5 separate regions of the Mus musculus genome follow, and all the other regions are reported to be linked to region 5. The links are microRNA targets in miRTarBase. Many come from high-throughput screens and were not tested one by one. Region 5 holds a microRNA gene; each other region holds the end of a gene's coding sequence.

The links. The annotated mature microRNA mmu-miR-297b-5p reads AUGUAUGUGUGCAUGAACAUGU and lies in region 5 at 1,284-1,305, shown strand. An mRNA with a match to its seed (bases 2 to 7 or 8) in the 3' UTR can be bound and repressed. Matches are read on the target gene's strand: a 7mer-m8 pairs with bases 2 to 8, a 7mer-A1 pairs with bases 2 to 7 and ends in A, and an 8mer does both.
Region 1: the mRNA of Il21 is a reported target of mmu-miR-297b-5p. Seed matches in the 3' UTR shown: 7mer-m8 at 868-874, 7mer-m8 at 864-870, 7mer-m8 at 860-866, 7mer-m8 at 856-862, 7mer-m8 at 852-858 and 7mer-m8 at 848-854.
Region 2: the mRNA of Abcc9 is a reported target of mmu-miR-297b-5p. Seed matches in the 3' UTR shown: 7mer-m8 at 1,500-1,506 and 7mer-m8 at 1,986-1,992.
Region 3: the mRNA of Tmem26 is a reported target of mmu-miR-297b-5p. Seed matches in the 3' UTR shown: 7mer-m8 at 2,259-2,265.
Region 4: miRTarBase lists Ell2 as a target of mmu-miR-297b-5p. Seed matches in the 3' UTR shown: 7mer-m8 at 1,005-1,011, 7mer-m8 at 1,009-1,015, 7mer-m8 at 1,013-1,019, 7mer-m8 at 1,017-1,023, 7mer-m8 at 1,021-1,027, 7mer-m8 at 1,025-1,031 and 13 more.

Annotation. Positions count from the first base shown.
Region 1 is chr3:37,222,273-37,225,835 of GRCm38, forward strand. Il21 (interleukin 21) reads right to left here. Exons shown (of 5, transcript NM_021782.3): 4 at 3,177-3,254; 5 at 487-3,088. The coding sequence ends at 3,065. Gm36168 (a long non-coding RNA gene) reads left to right here and starts at 2,125. Exons shown (of 4, transcript XR_389693.2): 1 at 2,125-2,216; 2 at 2,961-3,168.
Region 2 is chr6:142,587,391-142,590,953 of GRCm38, reverse strand. It overlaps Abcc9 (ATP-binding cassette, sub-family C (CFTR/MRP), member 9), which reads left to right. Exons shown (of 40, transcript NM_011511.2): 40 at 451-3,092. The coding sequence ends at 588. Among named protein-coding and RNA genes, the nearest start is that of Kcnj8, 18 kb to the right of the region's middle.
Region 3 is chr10:68,778,286-68,781,848 of GRCm38, forward strand. Tmem26 (transmembrane protein 26) reads left to right here. Exons shown (of 6, transcript NM_177794.3): 6 at 154-3,563. The coding sequence ends at 572. Among named protein-coding and RNA genes, the nearest start is that of Gm32931, 43 kb to the right of the region's middle.
Region 4 is chr13:75,770,371-75,773,933 of GRCm38, forward strand. Ell2 (elongation factor for RNA polymerase II 2) reads left to right here. Exons shown (of 12, transcript NM_138953.2): 11 at 176-220; 12 at 310-1,991. The coding sequence ends at 426. Among named protein-coding and RNA genes, the nearest start is that of Ell2, 65 kb to the left of the region's middle.
Region 5 is chr2:10,510,403-10,513,794 of GRCm38, forward strand. Mir297b (microRNA 297b) reads left to right here and starts at 1,265; the gene lies at 1,265-1,373. All of the region lies in intron 10 of Sfmbt2 (Scm-like with four mbt domains 2), which reads left to right. It overlaps Mir466d (microRNA 466d), which reads left to right and starts at 1,565; the gene lies at 1,565-1,660. Mir669m-1 (microRNA 669m-1) reads left to right here and starts at 2,388; the gene lies at 2,388-2,485. It also overlaps Mir669m-2 and Mir466n.

The sequences.
Region 1 (3,563 bases), not on the chromosome of region 5:
CTGGGCTGTGACCATGAGAGTGGCAGTGGGTAAAGTACACAAGTGCTCACATGGAGATGGTCAAGGTTCTGGGAGTTTCCCACTGAGAATCCTCCCCACTGAGGTCACCTGAGAGGGGAGCAGAGATTGGCAAGGAACATACCTAAGTCCTTGATGAGCACAGCCTGGTAACCCACAGACGCAGACAAGAAACATTGAGAATAAGAGACAGATGGCCAGATGAGAGCGACATGAACCCAGAACTGCAGTCTACATGGGACACACTTGTGAGACAAGCAAGTTTCAACCACTTCAAGCCTGCCAGGCATTCAGAGGGTGGTCTGCAAAGAGAGTGGGGTCTTTGAGCAAGAACACGGGATACTTCTATCTTAGTGGCAGTCAATAAGAAGTAAACATCTGTGCTGTAGCCATATAAAACCTATGCACCCACCTTTTCTACCAGGTTGGTTGCATTAAGGACATTCAGAGAATCACAACAGACAGTTGTTCTGACTGGGTAGCATTTAATATGATCAGGTCTTAAATAAGAAGCCATGAACACAAACATTCAAAACCAAATACATAATAAATAATCATTAAGTTATAAAGTACATCATTCATATTAAAACTAAATTCTCAGGTGTGACTGTAAATAAAACAGAGCAATAACATAGATCAATAATGCTATGAATTTATTCACAAAGAAAACACTTTCAGCTACAGTATTAACGGCCATAACTGATTTCCTCTGAACTCCTATGACCTACAACAACCTCTCTCTCTTTCTCTCTCTCTCTCTCTCTCTCTCTCTATATATATATATATATACATATATATATATATATATATGTATATATATATATATATATGTATGTATGTATGTATGTATGTATGTATATCCCTTCCCTTTTTGAACAACTAAATATCACACTTGGGATAAAATTTAACTCAAAAGTGTGGTCAGGTGTTCCTGTAAGAGTACTCAAAACATTAAAACTCAGACATACGAAGTTCAGAATAAAATACAGAATAGACTTAGGAAAGCCCCACATTCTTGTTCTACAGATAAGAGAATGAAAACCAAAAAAAGCTTACACCAGTGGCAACCTTCATGGACACACAACAGTGTGTCAGGTCCAATGTGTTCCCACCCACAGTGAACAATAATGTCAAAGGACTGGCTGAGTCTTGAGCACAGAGAGGTTCAAGACTGCTGTGCAATTTTGTCTAGTTTACTCTAAAGCGTAGCTTTCCCATGGCTAGTGGAGAAGCCTTCACTGGCTTTTCCAAACGATACAAGCTCTTAGCCTGTGCTGCATTGAATTATTTGTACTTCTTGATTAGAAATTGTCAGTGATTTAAAAGGCTAGAACAATAAACACACCAAAATAAATACATTGTCTTAAATATAAAAATCACAATGTCAAGAAGTCAACAGTTACACAGCCAGAAACAACAAAAGAATAAAACATGGAGACTCCCCTCTCTGTCCATCATTGCTTTGTGAAGGACTGCATCTCTGCTTCAGCTTTCGAGCAGCAAACTCAGCAACCAATGCTAGCACCATTGGACACTTACGTGGGCTATGTGTGTATAATGTCATCAACAGTCACACATTTACAGTTACACAAGTTCTTTGCAATACATATTTTTAAAGTTTAAGAGAATGCGTTGGTTCTGATTGTGACACTTTTCTGGGAATCAGTTAACACTAGTCTGTGCTATCTTAGGGCGGTACACGGGATCTCTGCTTGTTTTAAAGGCACTGTGAGGTACAGACACCTTTTTCCTTAGATCAAAACCATCCCCCAGGCCATGCTTGGATCTCAGATCCATTTTAACCATAAGAAATTCTCAAAGCGATGATACCACTCCAGGGAAAATAGCTTTGTAGACTTTTTAACTTGACATTGAAACATACTGTTGGAAATTATATCAAATGGCAAAACTATTTGCTCAATTTAGCCTCTGTGGTTAAAAGATTGGGATGTTCAGTAAAAGTCTGTTTAAAACTGGAACAGAACCTCTGGTCTCTTGGCTCATCTCCTGATTTTGATTTTAAATAGATGGTTGGATTTAACTTATCAAAAGTGTGCATGCAATGTGTCTTAAGTGCTGAACTTGTTTGGATTGCTTTTTCTTAGAAGTTTCAAAGAGGAAAGAAAGGAAAGGATGTGGGAGAGGAGACTGAGGCTGGAGCTAGCAGATTCATCACAGGACACCCATAACCACTTGAGGTGAGAGCTACAAACTTGAAAATTCTACTTGGCTCCAGAAGATAGTGAGGTTTGCACTTCCACAGGCTTTCATTGCCATCTTCACAAGATTAAACTATTAGCTTATAAAGGAACTTGACATTGGGAGGAAGGCAACTTAAGCCTGCTTCTTACTACACCCTTGCCTCTTTAGAAAAACAGTGAAAGCCAGGGGTGACCCTCATAATAGGTTAAATTTTGATAGACCTAATAGAGAAGAAAAACTGTACCTATCTGGAAAGCCTCTCTTGTAGAGTATAAAGATGTTAGTTATCAATATGCTAGATGTTTGTGGTAATGAGTAAACTCTTCAGACATGCTTTCAAGTACAAAGTTTTTCTTAAAGAATAAAGACTTCAATTTTCAATTTCATCTTATGCTTATTATTTCCAGCTTACATCATTCCGTTAGGATCATAAGAGGTCTTACTCTCGCAGATCGACAAATTCCCTAGCTGTATTTTTGCTAAAAGCTTTAGTTTTCCCCTTCCAATCAAAGAATGTCACAGTTGGGCAATAAGATGAAGCCACAGCTTGAGAAGCACCAGAAATCCCTGACACGGGAAGCTGGGCTCTTGTTGAGTTGAGATTTTCCATGTTGACAGCATGGAGTCTGTGCAGGGAACCACAATGTCTGCTTAGTTAATGGGCGAAAGGATCTTAACCTATAGCTTTTCTGAGTTGTTCTTATCATAACGTATCGTACTTCTCCACTTGCAATCCCAAGAGGCAAGATGTACTCCTGCATTCGTGAGCGTCTATAGTGTCCGGCGTCTCCTCAGTCCTCGGGAATCTTCTCGGATCCTCAGGAATCTTCGGGTCCTATGTGTTCTAGGAGAGATGCTGATGAATCATCTGTGGGAACGAGAGCCTATGAGTCACTGGGCACAGGAGGTACCCGGACACAACATGGAAGTGAAAGAAATGCATTTAAGGTGCATACCTTTTGAAGGAGCCATTTTAGTCTTTCTAGGAATTCTTTGGGTGTCCTTTTCTCATACGAATCACAGGAAGGGCATTTCTGTAAATCAAAATTAATCAATTAATTAATTAATTAATTTTAAAACTTTAAAAATTATTTTTTAAGAACTAACTTCATACTTCATAAAATACTTATGTAAAATTCATTTCTTCTCTTGTGAACATAAATCATATTCAGTAACAAGCATTAGGAAAATTCTGTAAAATTGTTCTGGAAACCACGTGTGATTTTATCCTCAGAGACAACTCTGAATATTTTGGTGTTTAAATTATTATATCCGTTTTTTGTCCCCTTTCTTCCTCTTCCTCTTCCTCGCCCTCCTCCTCCTCTGCATTCTTGTTACCCTGG
Region 2 (3,563 bases), not on the chromosome of region 5:
ATGTTGAATGCCAGAATAGACTTCTCCAGATTTCCAGACCAGAGTCTCTCAGGGTCCTTTTTATTATTTGTTAATCCAGGTATTTAGTGGGCTCACACATGAACTAACTATAATCAAGAATAAAATAGAACCGAGCTGGTTCATATGGGCTCCCTTTGGCATTTCACTGAGGCACATTTATTACTGTGTACAGTTGTCAAGTTTCAGTGCAACAGTGAGTAATGGCTGCACTGAAGTTAAGACAGAGCAAACAAAACCCCACCATGCTGGCTGGCATTTAAAAGCATATAAATGAATTAATTAATTCATACAAGGAAAGGGTATTTCTTGGTACACCCAAAGTAAAAAGAAGCAACCATGCATGACCAGTCTGTGAGATATTCATATTCACCGTCTTGGCTCTTGTGCTCAAATTCATAGCAAATGTCGATGTTTCTCACGTTCACGCAGCATCGGGTTCACACCATTCTGACTGCAGACCTGGTTATTGTGATGAAGAGAGGAAATATTTTGGAATACGACACCCCGGAAAGCCTCTTGGCCCAGGAAGATGGAGTGTTTGCCTCGTTTGTCCGTGCAGACATGTGACAGGATTGTCTCTCAACAGCACAAGTACTTCAATGCCTACCGTCGGCCCACCTGAGCGGTCTTCACCTTTGCCAACTTTGACGGATTTCTGTGTGGAGAGTTGAGATTTCTATTTCCTGTTTTGGTTTAACAGTTTCTGAGATACGTGTGTTATAGGTTCATTTACTACGATCTGTCCACACTCGAAAAGTAGGCTACATTAAATCATGCTAGCAGCCTTAAGAGGTAAAGCCATTGGAGAGAAGTGTCAAGCATGGGAGCTAAAATGAGTAATCTGTGTTACCACACTCTTAGTACTATCATTTTTTTTTTTGAGACAGGGTTTCTCTGTATAGCCCTGGCTGTCCTGGAACTCACTCTGTAGACCAGGCTGGCCTCAAACTCAAAAATCCACCTGCCTCTGCCTCCCAAGTGCTGGGATTAAAGGCGTGCGCCACCACCACCCAGCTGTTACCACACTCTTATTTGGAAGACTAGCATGACCTTGCTGTTGATGTGCCCATGTAGCAGGGTAAAAGAAAATTCATTTTCTAACAAAATACTCACATTCATGATCTACTGTAGGAGAATATTTTCTATGCATTTAACATTATTAATATTGGTTTTAACTTTTCCCTTTTAAATAATTTCCTGTCATCAAGAAGCTATCACATTTTTGGTACCTCTATAAAGCTAACCCTTCACAAAAGAAAAGATCACCAAAAGGGGTTGTATATTTGAAAACATTATACTTGTATCCATTTTCCTCTGTTCAACAAAGAGAAAGTTCAAGTTAGCTTCAGTCCTTCAGTGATAGGCAACCTAGGTTTTCTAGAGTTTAATTCTTTATCAGCCAGGCAATGACTCTGAACTCTGAAATGCTATATTATTTAGGACCCAAAAGAAAATGGATCAATGGCCTTATCTGTTACACATACACACACACACACACACACACACACACACATTTTCACAGCATAGCTTGGCTTTATGCTAATCTTGGCATGTGCACATTCCTCAGAGGTACCAGGTATTCCCAGCCATGCATCTCTGTGGGAAGATAGAAGAATCTCATGCTCTGCAGTTACATAGGTAGCAAGGGTTTATTTTTACTTGGGCAAATTTCAGTGATAGGCATTGAGATCATGCATTCGACCATTTGTCCTGTTCTAATTATGAAGAGCGTACCAGAAGTCTGTATGATATTAGTGTCATATTTCATTCAAATGCCAATTAATAAAGCAAAGCTGACTGAAGTTGCCTCCCCTGGTGTTCCACCATCCACAGTTTCTGTAACATTTACCCAGTGGACATGAGCGCTGCTGAATTTCATATAAGGGTCTTCACAGAAAATACATGTTCCTTCCCCGTGGTTCCTGTACTCATTTTAACGTGTTGTTTATTCTGTTTCACGACCTACATACAGTTCTTGTGCATCAGGATATATCAAGCTGCCTTCATGGCTATAGAATGTAATGTAAGAAAAATGTTCATAAATATGGACAAAAATGGTCCAGATTACTTAGTTTAAATAGCTACATTTTCTTCTGTATCTAAAACTTCGTTAGAAGAAAGTAATAGTATTATTTGCAGAAAGCCAGTCGATCACAGCCATTACCAATAAGTTCAACCTCAAAGTACTTCATAAAAATCTGACCAATCTACTAAAATACTGCAGGCGTGAAAGGTTCTGTTGGAGCTGAATGTCATGATGTTTATCATCCAGCAAGCCCTCCTTCTCACATAGCAACAGCATCCACCTACAGAAGCAGCCCCTCAGTGTAGCCACTTCACCACCCTGTGCACCCTAAGTGACTTTTGATTCCTTGAACCTTTTACTTACTTGAGGTGAGGAAATGTCTGATAATCTGCAAAACAAAACCTACCAAATGGAATCAGGGGCGACATCTCAGTCGGTCCGGCTGGCATTGCGTTGCTTGGGCTACCTCCGATGACAGAAACGTGCTTTTACTGTAGGTAAAACCATAAGAAAAGAAAATAATCTCAATTATTTTCAGAGCTAAAGTTTATATTGATCTTACCAAATCAACACCACACATATTTATTCTAACTATAAAAAGCAATAAATGCAAACAAAACAAAAAAGTTCATGGTAAAATGACGGAATCAGCATGTGAGTAAGGATCGCTTTCCTCAAAGGTTACCCTCCCACCCCCGCTATTTCTCATGATTCGTCAATATCTAGGTTAGGTATTGAAAGATCTTTCTAAGCATCTGGTACTATGATCAGGACCATATCCTGCCCATCTTTGGGCCCTTGGCACTAAAACAAGTGAATAGATCCAAGTGAATAAAGTAATTTCTCCATTGACTTTTTTTTTTAACTGCTAGTCATGTGGCTGTAACTATGGGTTGCTCTTTATTATTCCCTGATATGTTTATTCTATTTATTCTCAGTATATTAAATCTGTTTATTATGTACACTGTATGTTTACTCTCAATAGTACATGAGAACGTATTGGCTTACCTTATACAATAAATTAGTCCTTTTGTTTACTCAGTTATGGAGAGTAATGTTTCTTCCACAGACAGTTTCATTGAGTGTTAACCAGTCAACAGCTATAAATCAATATACTTGCCAGGCAGTAGTTAGCCTGCCTGCCTTCATGATTTGCAAGTGTCACATATGTGTCCTGTCACTTTTATGAACACACTCCAAGTCTATTTCCATTGAGGGGACCAACTCAAATACCCCAAAACTACATGCCAACTATTAGCAGAGAAAACACCAGTTGATAGTGTGCACCTGAAACTTAATTCAGTGACTGCAAGTTATTGATATCATTGATTTATTAAGTATTGGTAGGATTCACCTGATCAAACTCACCAAGGAAGAGATGTCTATATGTTTCTAGCAAGTGCCTCAGATGAGACTTATAATTGGCCAAGTTTGGGTTAAGTCACCTCAGCCTCTTCCCCCCCCCCATCCCCCACACTCACTATTTAGCTGAGGCTAGTGAACTCACGAGTGACCC
Region 3 (3,563 bases), not on the chromosome of region 5:
AGTTGAGGTGAAGAAATGCCCCCTATTCCTCCACATTAACCTGGAGGGCCATTCTCCCTCTTTCACAACAAGACCACCCTAATGGCTGTCCCATGCCTCTCTCCCCTTTGCATTTCCAAATGTTAACCGTTGTTTCTTTCATTTTTCCTCCAGTCCAGTTGAAACTGGTATGCCCCGCCTCAGTGAAAGCCAGGGGCTTCCTTAGGGTTTTCCTGTGCCAGTACAGTGCGGATCTATGGGCCATTGGTCTCAGCTTCTTCATCCAAGACGGTCCCTTCCTGGTTGTGCGCCTCGTCCTGATGATCTACTTTAAAGTGATCAACCACATGTTGGTGTTCTTTGCCGTGAAGAATTCCCTAGTGATGGCTCTGCACTTCTACCGACTTGTGGCTTTGATTATGGCCACGAGGGACTTCATGCGAGATCATCCAGAAAGCCCCAAACCGGAGCACAGTGGCCCAGACCAGCCCTCTGAGAGTGGTCCCAGTGAATGGGAGGATGCTTCCCCGGAGGCTCTGCCTTTGCGAACCTCACCTGTCACCTCCGAGGAGTCTTACCCGACGACACCTTAGTTATTGCTTCCAACATGAAGCTGCGAGGCTTAACTCGTTCCTTCTTACGCCCCCATGTTTGCATACACCAGTTTTTTAAGGAAACAATACAAAAAGATGATCTTGTATCAAAGCCAAGATAATTTTTTTTTTCATCTGAGTGGAAGGAACTTTGACGTCGAATGGCTGTCTCTACAACCTCCTGCTCTGGTAGCGGACATTACACCGCTCCGAGAACCATTCTAAATGATTGGTTTTTATGGAACTGCTTGAAAAGCTGTAGACAGAACGGCATAGCACACCCTTCAAAGATTTAAGGCAGACATTTACCACCCCCTTCCCTATTCCTTGCTCTCCTTGGGTGCCTAGTACTACAGCTTTTGACTGGCTGGACTACGTCACTCTCTCATCTGAGGTTTTTTGCAATGTCCCTCTGACATTAAAACAAAAAATGTATATTCAGTGAACGCTGAACAAAAGAGAGGAAAATGATTTTAAAATCAATTTGCTGGAAGTTGGGAGCTAGTACTGCCCTGCTTCCTCGGTGCAGAAAAATAGCTGAGGTAGCTGCACAGGCCTTTACAGGAATGCCCTTTTCCTAGACCAAGGTGACATTCCATGTGTTCTTAGAGCATCGTGATGGCTTTGGACTTGGGTAGCACAAAGTTTACAGCAAGCCACTTGGGTTCTAGCAACTTCATAGTGAGTGAGACAGCTGCAAGGCACACTTTCTACCTAATGCAATTTACGGGACCGTTGACATCTGAATACCTGATTACCTTTTTCTAAGTTGTCAAGGTGCATCATGGGATCAATTTCAAAGAGCACTAGCATGCAGTGATGAAGGAATTTGAGGCCCTTTAGTGTTACCATGGTTTCTGGTAGGGGCCAGCAGCCTCTGCAGGAGCAGCAACACTAACAGAGTTCGGCCTGAAGCCTGGGAAATACCACCAGCGGCCCCAGCCTGGTTTCAGGAACAAGTTGGTGGCAGTTGGTGCCAGTCTCATGCCTCCTGGGAATCATGGTGGCTTCATTTCCCATGAACGAAATAGTCGGTCTCTTCCACAGCTCTGTACATTCTGGGTGGAAATAACTCCAAACTTTTGAAAGTAGCTCTTGCTTTTAAATATAATTGTGACTTGGCAATTTTCGGAAGCGCTCTAAAACTGTAGTGTTAGAGTTCAAAGCATCAGCCAAGCTATGCTAGAATCCCCAGGAACCCAAAGATGTTTATTCAGGAAACTTCCTAAATTGGAGGCAACCATTAGACAATCAGTTGGGACAATTTTTTTTTTAAATCTATGAATTTCTGGTATGGTATTTATCCACTATGTTTGATAACAAGTATATAAACACATTCTATTTTATACAAAGCCACAACTGTTTTTCTAGTAATTTCTCCTTCTTTTATCCCTTGGGCTTTTTGTTTTTAACAGTGTCATGGTTGTAAACGGTTCACGAAATGAATGGAATGCATTGGTAATTTTTCATAATAAGTGTATGCAAGTTAAGGTCAAATTTTAAAGGTGTGTTATTCAAAGTTCTTATCAATGAGATTTGGGAGCTTGGTTAAAAGCATGTATTGCTCTTGCAGAGGATCAGGATTTATCCCAAAATCTACTCAGTAGGTCTTATATCCACTTGTAACTCCAGCTTTTGAGGGGTCTACTTCTAGCCTCTGTGAGAACTGACTGCATTCGTGTGTACACATACACACACATGCAGATTTATTAAAAATAATGAAAATATTTTACAATAAAAACGTCAGCAATGGGAAGAAAAACAGAAAAAAAAAAACAATACTATTTCTCAAACTGCCCCAGTCTCCACTAAGTGTGCTGGATGCTTTGTGCTGAATACATGACATATATGTGTCCCAATGACAGGTATGTGCCCCATAACAAACATGTGTCCTCATGACATATATGTGCCCCTTTGACATATATGTGCCCCTATGACATATATGTACCCCTATGATATACATGTGCCCCTATGACACACATGCACCCCATGATATATATATATACATGTGCCAATGACATATATGTGCCCCCATGACATATATGTGCCCCCATGACATGTATGTGCCCCTATGACTTACATGTGCCCCCATGACATGTATGTGCCCCTATGACATATATGTGCCCCCATGACATATATGTGCCCCTATGATGTATATGAGCCACTCCTTACTGCCTAATTGCTCACAGCATATTTTTGTGATTATTTTTCCTCAATAACAAACACTGAACCTCCAAAAATAAACCATCACATAGTATGACTGTTGGAGGGATAATTTTAAGTGCTTTTGAATCTAAGGCTTGGCGTGGTTTCGTGAAAGACTTTCTTGTGTTTCAATAAAGTATTTGGACAGCCCTCCTCCTCAGGCCTGTCCAAAATCTGGCTTAATTTGGAATGCCAGGAAGTCAGAGAGCACCCAGGACCAGCTTGGTAATTAATGGATGGTCAAAAATAGACACACAGTCTTCAAGGCTTTTCCAGGAAAATCTGCTAAAGACAGCATTTAACTTAACTGCCAGTGTTTCCATTTCCTTATGCTGGCTGCTTTGATCATAGGAAAAATGTCTGTTTGCTTAGTCTAGGTTTTATCTCTGATGAAACGCTAAAAATATACTCAGTTGTATGTTTATAATTATTAATATTATTTTACCCCTTAAAACTGTATGTTTTTACTGTAGGCTCATGCACATTGTGATGTTTTTAGATATCCAAGTGTTTGTCATAAACGGAACAGAATATCAGTCATCTCTTTTACGTCGGAGTCTTGAGACTTGTTTACATTTTATTTGTAGTGAGACAGCTTAATCACGTAGACTCCATTCTAGCCACAGTACACGTGAAGCCCCACCCCCTACCCCTGAGGAGGGGACTTCACTTACAATTGCTGAAGCTGTTGCTGATTCATTAAGTTCAACCAGCTATTCTTTCTGCAAGCATATTCACCCACTAGTGAGAAAACCCCGTGACCATGTTTACATGATGCTGTGTGGA
Region 4 (3,563 bases), not on the chromosome of region 5:
AGTTTGCATTTGCTGTTTTGATAGCTGCTGCCAAATTGCCAAATTGGGACAAATGTCTCAAGTTATATCTCATCAGTATTTCCTACACCTTCCAGGTGCTTGTTAGATATAGTACTAACTCTTCTTGTTAGATGTAGTACCATACTCTTCTTAATTGTAATTTATAACTTTACAGAATGTTCATGAAGAAGTCTTACAGGAATATCAGAAGATCAAGCAGGTGAGTACCACGCCTTTGCCTTTCTGGCCTACAGTGAGAAGCAGGGTAAATTCTGTGACCTAATGCCTCACTATTTTCTTTGTCTACAGTCCAGTCCCAATTACCATGAAGAAAAATACAGATGTGAATATCTTCATAACAAGCTGGCTCACATCAAAAGACTAATAGGTGAATTTGACCAACAGCAAGCAGAGTCATGGCACTAAAGCTCTGCTTGGACCAGAAGATGTGAATAAACTAAAGCTTATTTATTTAAAATTCCAGATGAGTTGCTCTAGATTCTAAAAGATGAAACTTTGCTTGTTGGAAGTTTCAGTATTAGTAAACTTGAGTTACTTTTTTTCCTCTCTATTTTACTTTGCTGCCCTGAATTTTGAAGCTGCTTTTTTTCTGGTCCTCTCCCCAACCACCCACCCCCAACCCCCAACTTGTTTGTTAATAGAAGCAATTTTTAAGAGATTGGGGATCCAGTGTCTATACTTCAAATCAATTTTCCTTGATAACTTGTCTTTGTCATTAGCGATGATTTTTTTTTTTTTTAGATATCGGGGATGCAAAGTCCATACAGATGCAAAGAATTGCGTGTGTTTAAAACAAGACAAAACAGTAATGTGCAAGGTGAAAAGCTTTTGGATAAACAAAAGCCTATTTTCTGACCTTTCTTAATGTAAACTCTTTGCCTTAAATGGTAGAATATTTAGACATTTGCACAAAGTACAAAAAATCAAAACATTGTTTTTGGAGGGTTGAAAAATAGAAAGTGAATGTGTATAGTTTTCTATACACATACATACATACATACATACATACATACATACATACATACATACATGCATACATACATACATACATACATACATACATACATACATACGGGCTGTCTGGCTCTAGAGTGTTAAATCTGCCCTAAAAGTTAAACCCCCATTGCAATGGCTGCCTTAAGGTGTTTGCTAGTTGTGTACATCATGTGGTTAACCAGTAGCTACACTGCTTCCCAGTGATAACAGCCCCAGCCCGGGAAGCACACTGTGGCCTACCAGCATCAGAACCTGTGTGTTCTGCTTGTCTGTCTGCAGAGCTGCTGTGGATGTGAGCTGTGTGAAGGTTAAAAAGCTGCTACTCTCAGTAGGCCGGACACTCAGGTTAAAGAGCTGACGAGTGTTGCAGTAGCTTGTTGGTGTGTGTTTGCTTGGTTTTTGTTTGTTTCTGTCAAATTGCTACTTCTATTGTGGAAGACAAAAGCATTTCCATTTCAACAGTTTGTCAGCTTTATTAATGTTGGGCAAAAAATGATATGTTATGAAAATGAAACAGATCTTATAGTTTTGGGGCAAAATGACAAAAATAAATGTGTAGGTAACCTATTTATATACTGCTATAAAGTATTTTTTGAAGAAAGATATGCAAAGAAGCTATTACCTACATCAGATGTATATTTAAATTTTTTTTCATCCTGGATCCCAGGAATATAAAAAGAGTAGATATATTTAACCATAACATACTGTGACTCATCAAATAGCACAAACTTTCATTTCATGGAGTTTATCTGTTAACGTTGATTTAAACTATCACTTGTCTTATCATGTGGGAACATAAGTTATGTGGTCAAAATATAAAGATTTTGAACTAAAGTTGATTCAGGTTGTCTTGTATTGTCTCAAAGTGCTGCCAGTTGAAAAGGGAAGCATTATGTTTACAAATCTGTTTTGAAATGTTTGCCAAAATTTTGGTAGTATCTTTAATAAAGATGTTTGTCTTCAGCATCCAAAAATAAGTGAATAATTTTGACGTGTATCACTGTAAAGTAGAAAATGTTAGTACTGAGGCCTTGTGGCAGTATATGTTGATTAACTTTCTTGTGGAGTTTTCCTGAAATGTCAACTGGAAAGACTGGGTAATGGATCCAAAGCACAGAGGCAGCCAAGCACTGAAGCCAAGATTCCTCTGACGCTACAACTCTGGTATCACTGCACACATTCCATCTCTGCATGGCCTTCTGGAGACTTCCATTTCAGTTTTGAGATCCCTGGTGCTCTTTTACCTTGATAGTGCTACAGTCATTATTAAGTAGAAGTTTATCTCAATCTTTTGAGTTTAAAAAGAAGAAAAGAAGCTTAGTTATGGCTAAATTGGGGCCTCACATTATCATCGTAGATCTCTTGACATAATGACTTCAGGAGTACACTCTGAAGTGTTGGCCTTTCACTGAGATTGTTGCTGTTCTTTGCTATGGGCAATGTTTCTCAAAAGTAAGGGTGTTGAATGGCTTGCTTGCATTACCCACACTACAGTCTCTTGGGAGAGACCAGGCACCCACATTTTCACAAGGTCATTGCAGTGACAGTTGCAAGCTAATGTATAATTGGCTTAGATATAGCTCTAAATTTTAAGTCCCTAATCTTGAAACCTTGAATGTATATACTCCAGCTTTAGCAGATGCTCAATTTGAATTAGGCATGAGACCACCCCAGCTGAATCTGTACTTGAGTTTCTAATCATTTTCTGAGGAAACAAGGCAGAAAAAAAGTAAAGGCATCCATTGAGCCCTGGCATTGAAAACCTGCAACAGTTGATGCCAGCCGTGACTCTGGTGATCCTCAAAGATAAATGGAGGGTCCCAAAGTCGTCATTGTGTCAGCAACCCTTCTTAAAGCTATACCTCTTCATTGGGTAGGGGTTGAAGTTTCATTACATAAAGCTTTTGAGAATTCAATGAAAACTAGCCACCTAAATTAGGTAATTAAATATCTGTGCAACGCAGATAATGTGTGGAATCACTGCTTTTCACATGAGAGTAAGTCCATTTTGACTGACTGCAGAGGGGTAAGGCAGAGATAGGCTTCAGATTTCGAGGCGGAGTATTGGGGTTTATTGAGTGCCAGGCGTATGCATACCTGCTCTTCTGGTTTTGCTCCTCAGAGATTGCACTAGCAGGAGAGCAGTGGCTACAGGTGGCTCTGATACTTTACGATTGCGTAATTCTCAAATTGGGAATCAGAGACATGTCATTTTCAACTTCTGCCTGCCTGGTTCAACTGACCCACCAGGCTGGTTTTTCCTTCTGTGATTGGATATTAGTACAGCATGGGAACTTACAAGTAGACAGTAAGTACCCTTTTCAAGTCTATGAAACTCAGGAGGAAGCTTCCAGAAGGCGAGCCCACGTGACTAGCAGGCATGTTTGCCTTAGACAGCCTAGGGCTTCTTGCCTGCCCATCAGACTTGATGGTTTCCCATTGGGTTTTACAGCTGATTGTGGTGTTTTGTGCTCACCCTGCTCTGCCTAACTACTCTCACTTCCTGCTGTCCAGTACCAATGGTTCCTGCCATGTCAAGGCGCCCA
Region 5 (3,392 bases):
TTATGCTTATCTTCAGCATGATTTAGAGATAAGCCTGTGATTCATGTGATGCCTTAAGTGTACATGCAGGTTTGTATAGTTGTGTGTGTATGTTCATGTGTCTATATGGATATACATAACATATACATAGACATATAAACCCTAGCGTGCACACACACACACACACACACACACACACACACACACACACACACACGAATAACATTCATAGATCCATTTATATGATATGCCACCTAGAATATTAGAAATTATTCAGTACTGGGCCAGTGAGTGCTGTCATTTTCTAGGTAAAAATGCTTGCTAGAATCAGGAGTATCAGGAGTTCAAATTCATGCTTATCTTCAGGAGGATATAGATATCTGCCTGTGATTCATGTGATTGCCACCCATGTATGTGCATGGGTGTATAGTTTTGTGTACATGTGCATGTGTGTATATGAATAGACATAACATGCACATACATATAAACACAAGCACACACACACACAGAGACACAGGAATGACACTCATCGATCCATCTGAATGATAGGTGACTTAGAGTTTTAGAGATTATGCAGTAGTGGGACAGTGAATGGTCTCAATCACCAGGTGTAAACCACAGAGTCAGGAGGATCAGGAGTTCAAATCCATGCTTAATTTCAGTTGGAGATCATCCTGGTATTTCTGTGATGCTACCCATGTATGTGCATGTGTGCTTACTTGTATGTGCATGTGCATGTGTTGATATGAATATACATAACATAAACACACGTGTATATGCAGGCACACACACACAGAAGAAATTGCATTCGTCGTTACGTTTGAATGATATATGACTTAGAGCTTTAAGAGTATGTATTACTGGGCCAATGAAACGTCTTACTTACCAGTAAAAATGTTTGTTATATTCAGATGGATCAGGGGTCCAAATTCATGAGTAATTTCAAAATGACATAGAGATCAGCCTGACTTCACGGGGTTCCCCCCAATGTATGTTTATGTGTGTATAGTTTATGTGCATGTGCATGTGTGCATATGCATATACATATACATCCATACAAACATATAGAAGTAGCACAGATACACAGACACACACACACACACCCATCAATCATTTTGAATGACAGGTGACTTAGAGTTTTAGAAATTATGCTGTGCTGGGCCAGTGAGTGCTCTTAGTCAAAAGGTAAAAATGCTTGCCAGAGTCAGGAGGATGAGCAGTCAAAATTCATTCTCAACTTCATGATGAGTCTGGGATCAACTTCGGATTCATGTGATGCCCCCAATCTATTTGCTTGTGTGTATATGTATGTGTGCATGAACATGTGTATATGAATATACATATACATACACACATACCCATACAAACATGCATACAAACACACAGAAAATGGATACTCATTGTTCTATTGAATGATATGTGTCTTAGAGTCTTAGAGATTCTGTATGACTGGGCCAGGGAGAGGTCACACTCACCATGTGACGCCCCTTGCCAGAGTCAGGGTGATCAGGAGTGCAAATTCATGTTAACTGCGTGATGAGGTAGAGATCAGCCTGTCATTCATGTGATGGCCCCTGTGTATGTGCATGTGTGTTTGTGTGTGCGTACATGTACATGTGTGTATATGAATATACATATACATACACGCACACATAGATACGCACGCACACACACACACAGGGATGGCACTCATCAATCCATTTGAATGATAAGTGACTTAGAGTGAAAATGCTTACTAGAGTTAAGAGTATCAGGAGTTCAAATTCATACTTATCCTCATGAGAATTTAGAGATCAGCCTGTGATTTATGTGATTCCTCCATGTATGTGCATGTGTGTATAGTTGTGTGTGCATGTTCATGTCTATATTTGAATATACATAACATACACACACACGTATAAACGCAAGCACACATACACAGATACAGGAATGGCATTCGCCAATCCCTTTGAATGATAAGTCATGTAGAGTTTTAGAGATTATGCAATAGGGGACATTGAATGGTCTCACCCACCAGGTGTAAAAGATTGACAAAGTCAGGAGGATAAAGATTTCAAATTCATGCTTAATTCAGTTAGAGATCATCCTGGTATTCATGTGATGCCACCCATGTATGTGCATGTGTGTTTACTTGTATGTGCATGTGCATGTGTTGACATGAATATACATAACATAAACACATGTGTATATGCAAGCACACACACACACACACAGAGAAAAAATTGCATTCATTTATATGTTTGAAAGATATGTGACTTAGAGCTTTAGCAATTATGTAGTACTTGGCCAATGAAACTTCTTACTTACCAGTAAAATGTTTTTCATATTCAGATGGATCAGGAGTTCAAATTCATGAGTAACTTCAAAATGGTGTACAGATCAGCCTGGCTTCATGGGATCCTCCCCAATGTATGTGCATGTGTGTATAGTTTTGTGTGCATGTGCATGTGTGTATATGAATAGACATATACATCCACACAAACATATACAAGCAAGCACAGATACACACACAGGAATGGCACTCATCGATCCATTTGAATGATAGGTGACTTAGAGTTTTAGAGACTGCAGTAGTGGGACAGTGAATGGTCTCAGTCACCAGCTGTAAATGATTGACAAAGTCTGGAGAATCAGGATTTCAAATTCATGATTAACTTCAGTTAGAGATTATCCTGGTATTCCTGTGATGCCACCCATGTATGTGCATGTGTGTTTACATGTGTGTGCGTGTACATCTGTGTAAATGAATATATATATATATATATATATATACATATATATATATATATATATATATATATATATATATATATAACATAAACATACATGTATATGGACACACGTATGCACACATACACACAAGGAATGGAATTCATTGATATGTTTGAATGATATGTGATTTTGAGCTTTAAAGGTTATGTAGTACTGGTCAAATGAAAGTTTTTCTCACTATGTAAAAGCTTGCCATATTCAGAGGGGTCAGGAATTCATATTCATAAATAAATTCAAAAGAGAGTAGAGATCAGCCTGATTTTATGGGGTTCCCCACAATATATTTGCATGTGTGTATAGTTTTGTGTGCATGTGCATGTGTGTATATGAATATACATATACATCCACACAAACATATACAAGCATGCACAGATATACACACACACAGAAATGGCACCCATAGATCATTTTGAGTGACATGTGACATGTGACATGTGAGTTTTAGAGAGTATGCCGTGCTGGGCCAATGAATGCTCTCACTCACAAGGTAAAGACCCTTGCCAGATTCAGGATGATCAAGAGTGTAAATTCATGTTGGTTGCATGATGAGTTGGAGATCAGCCTGGCATTCATGTGATGGCTCCTGTGTATGTGCATGTGTGTTTGTGTGTGCGTACATGTACATGTGTGTATATGAATAT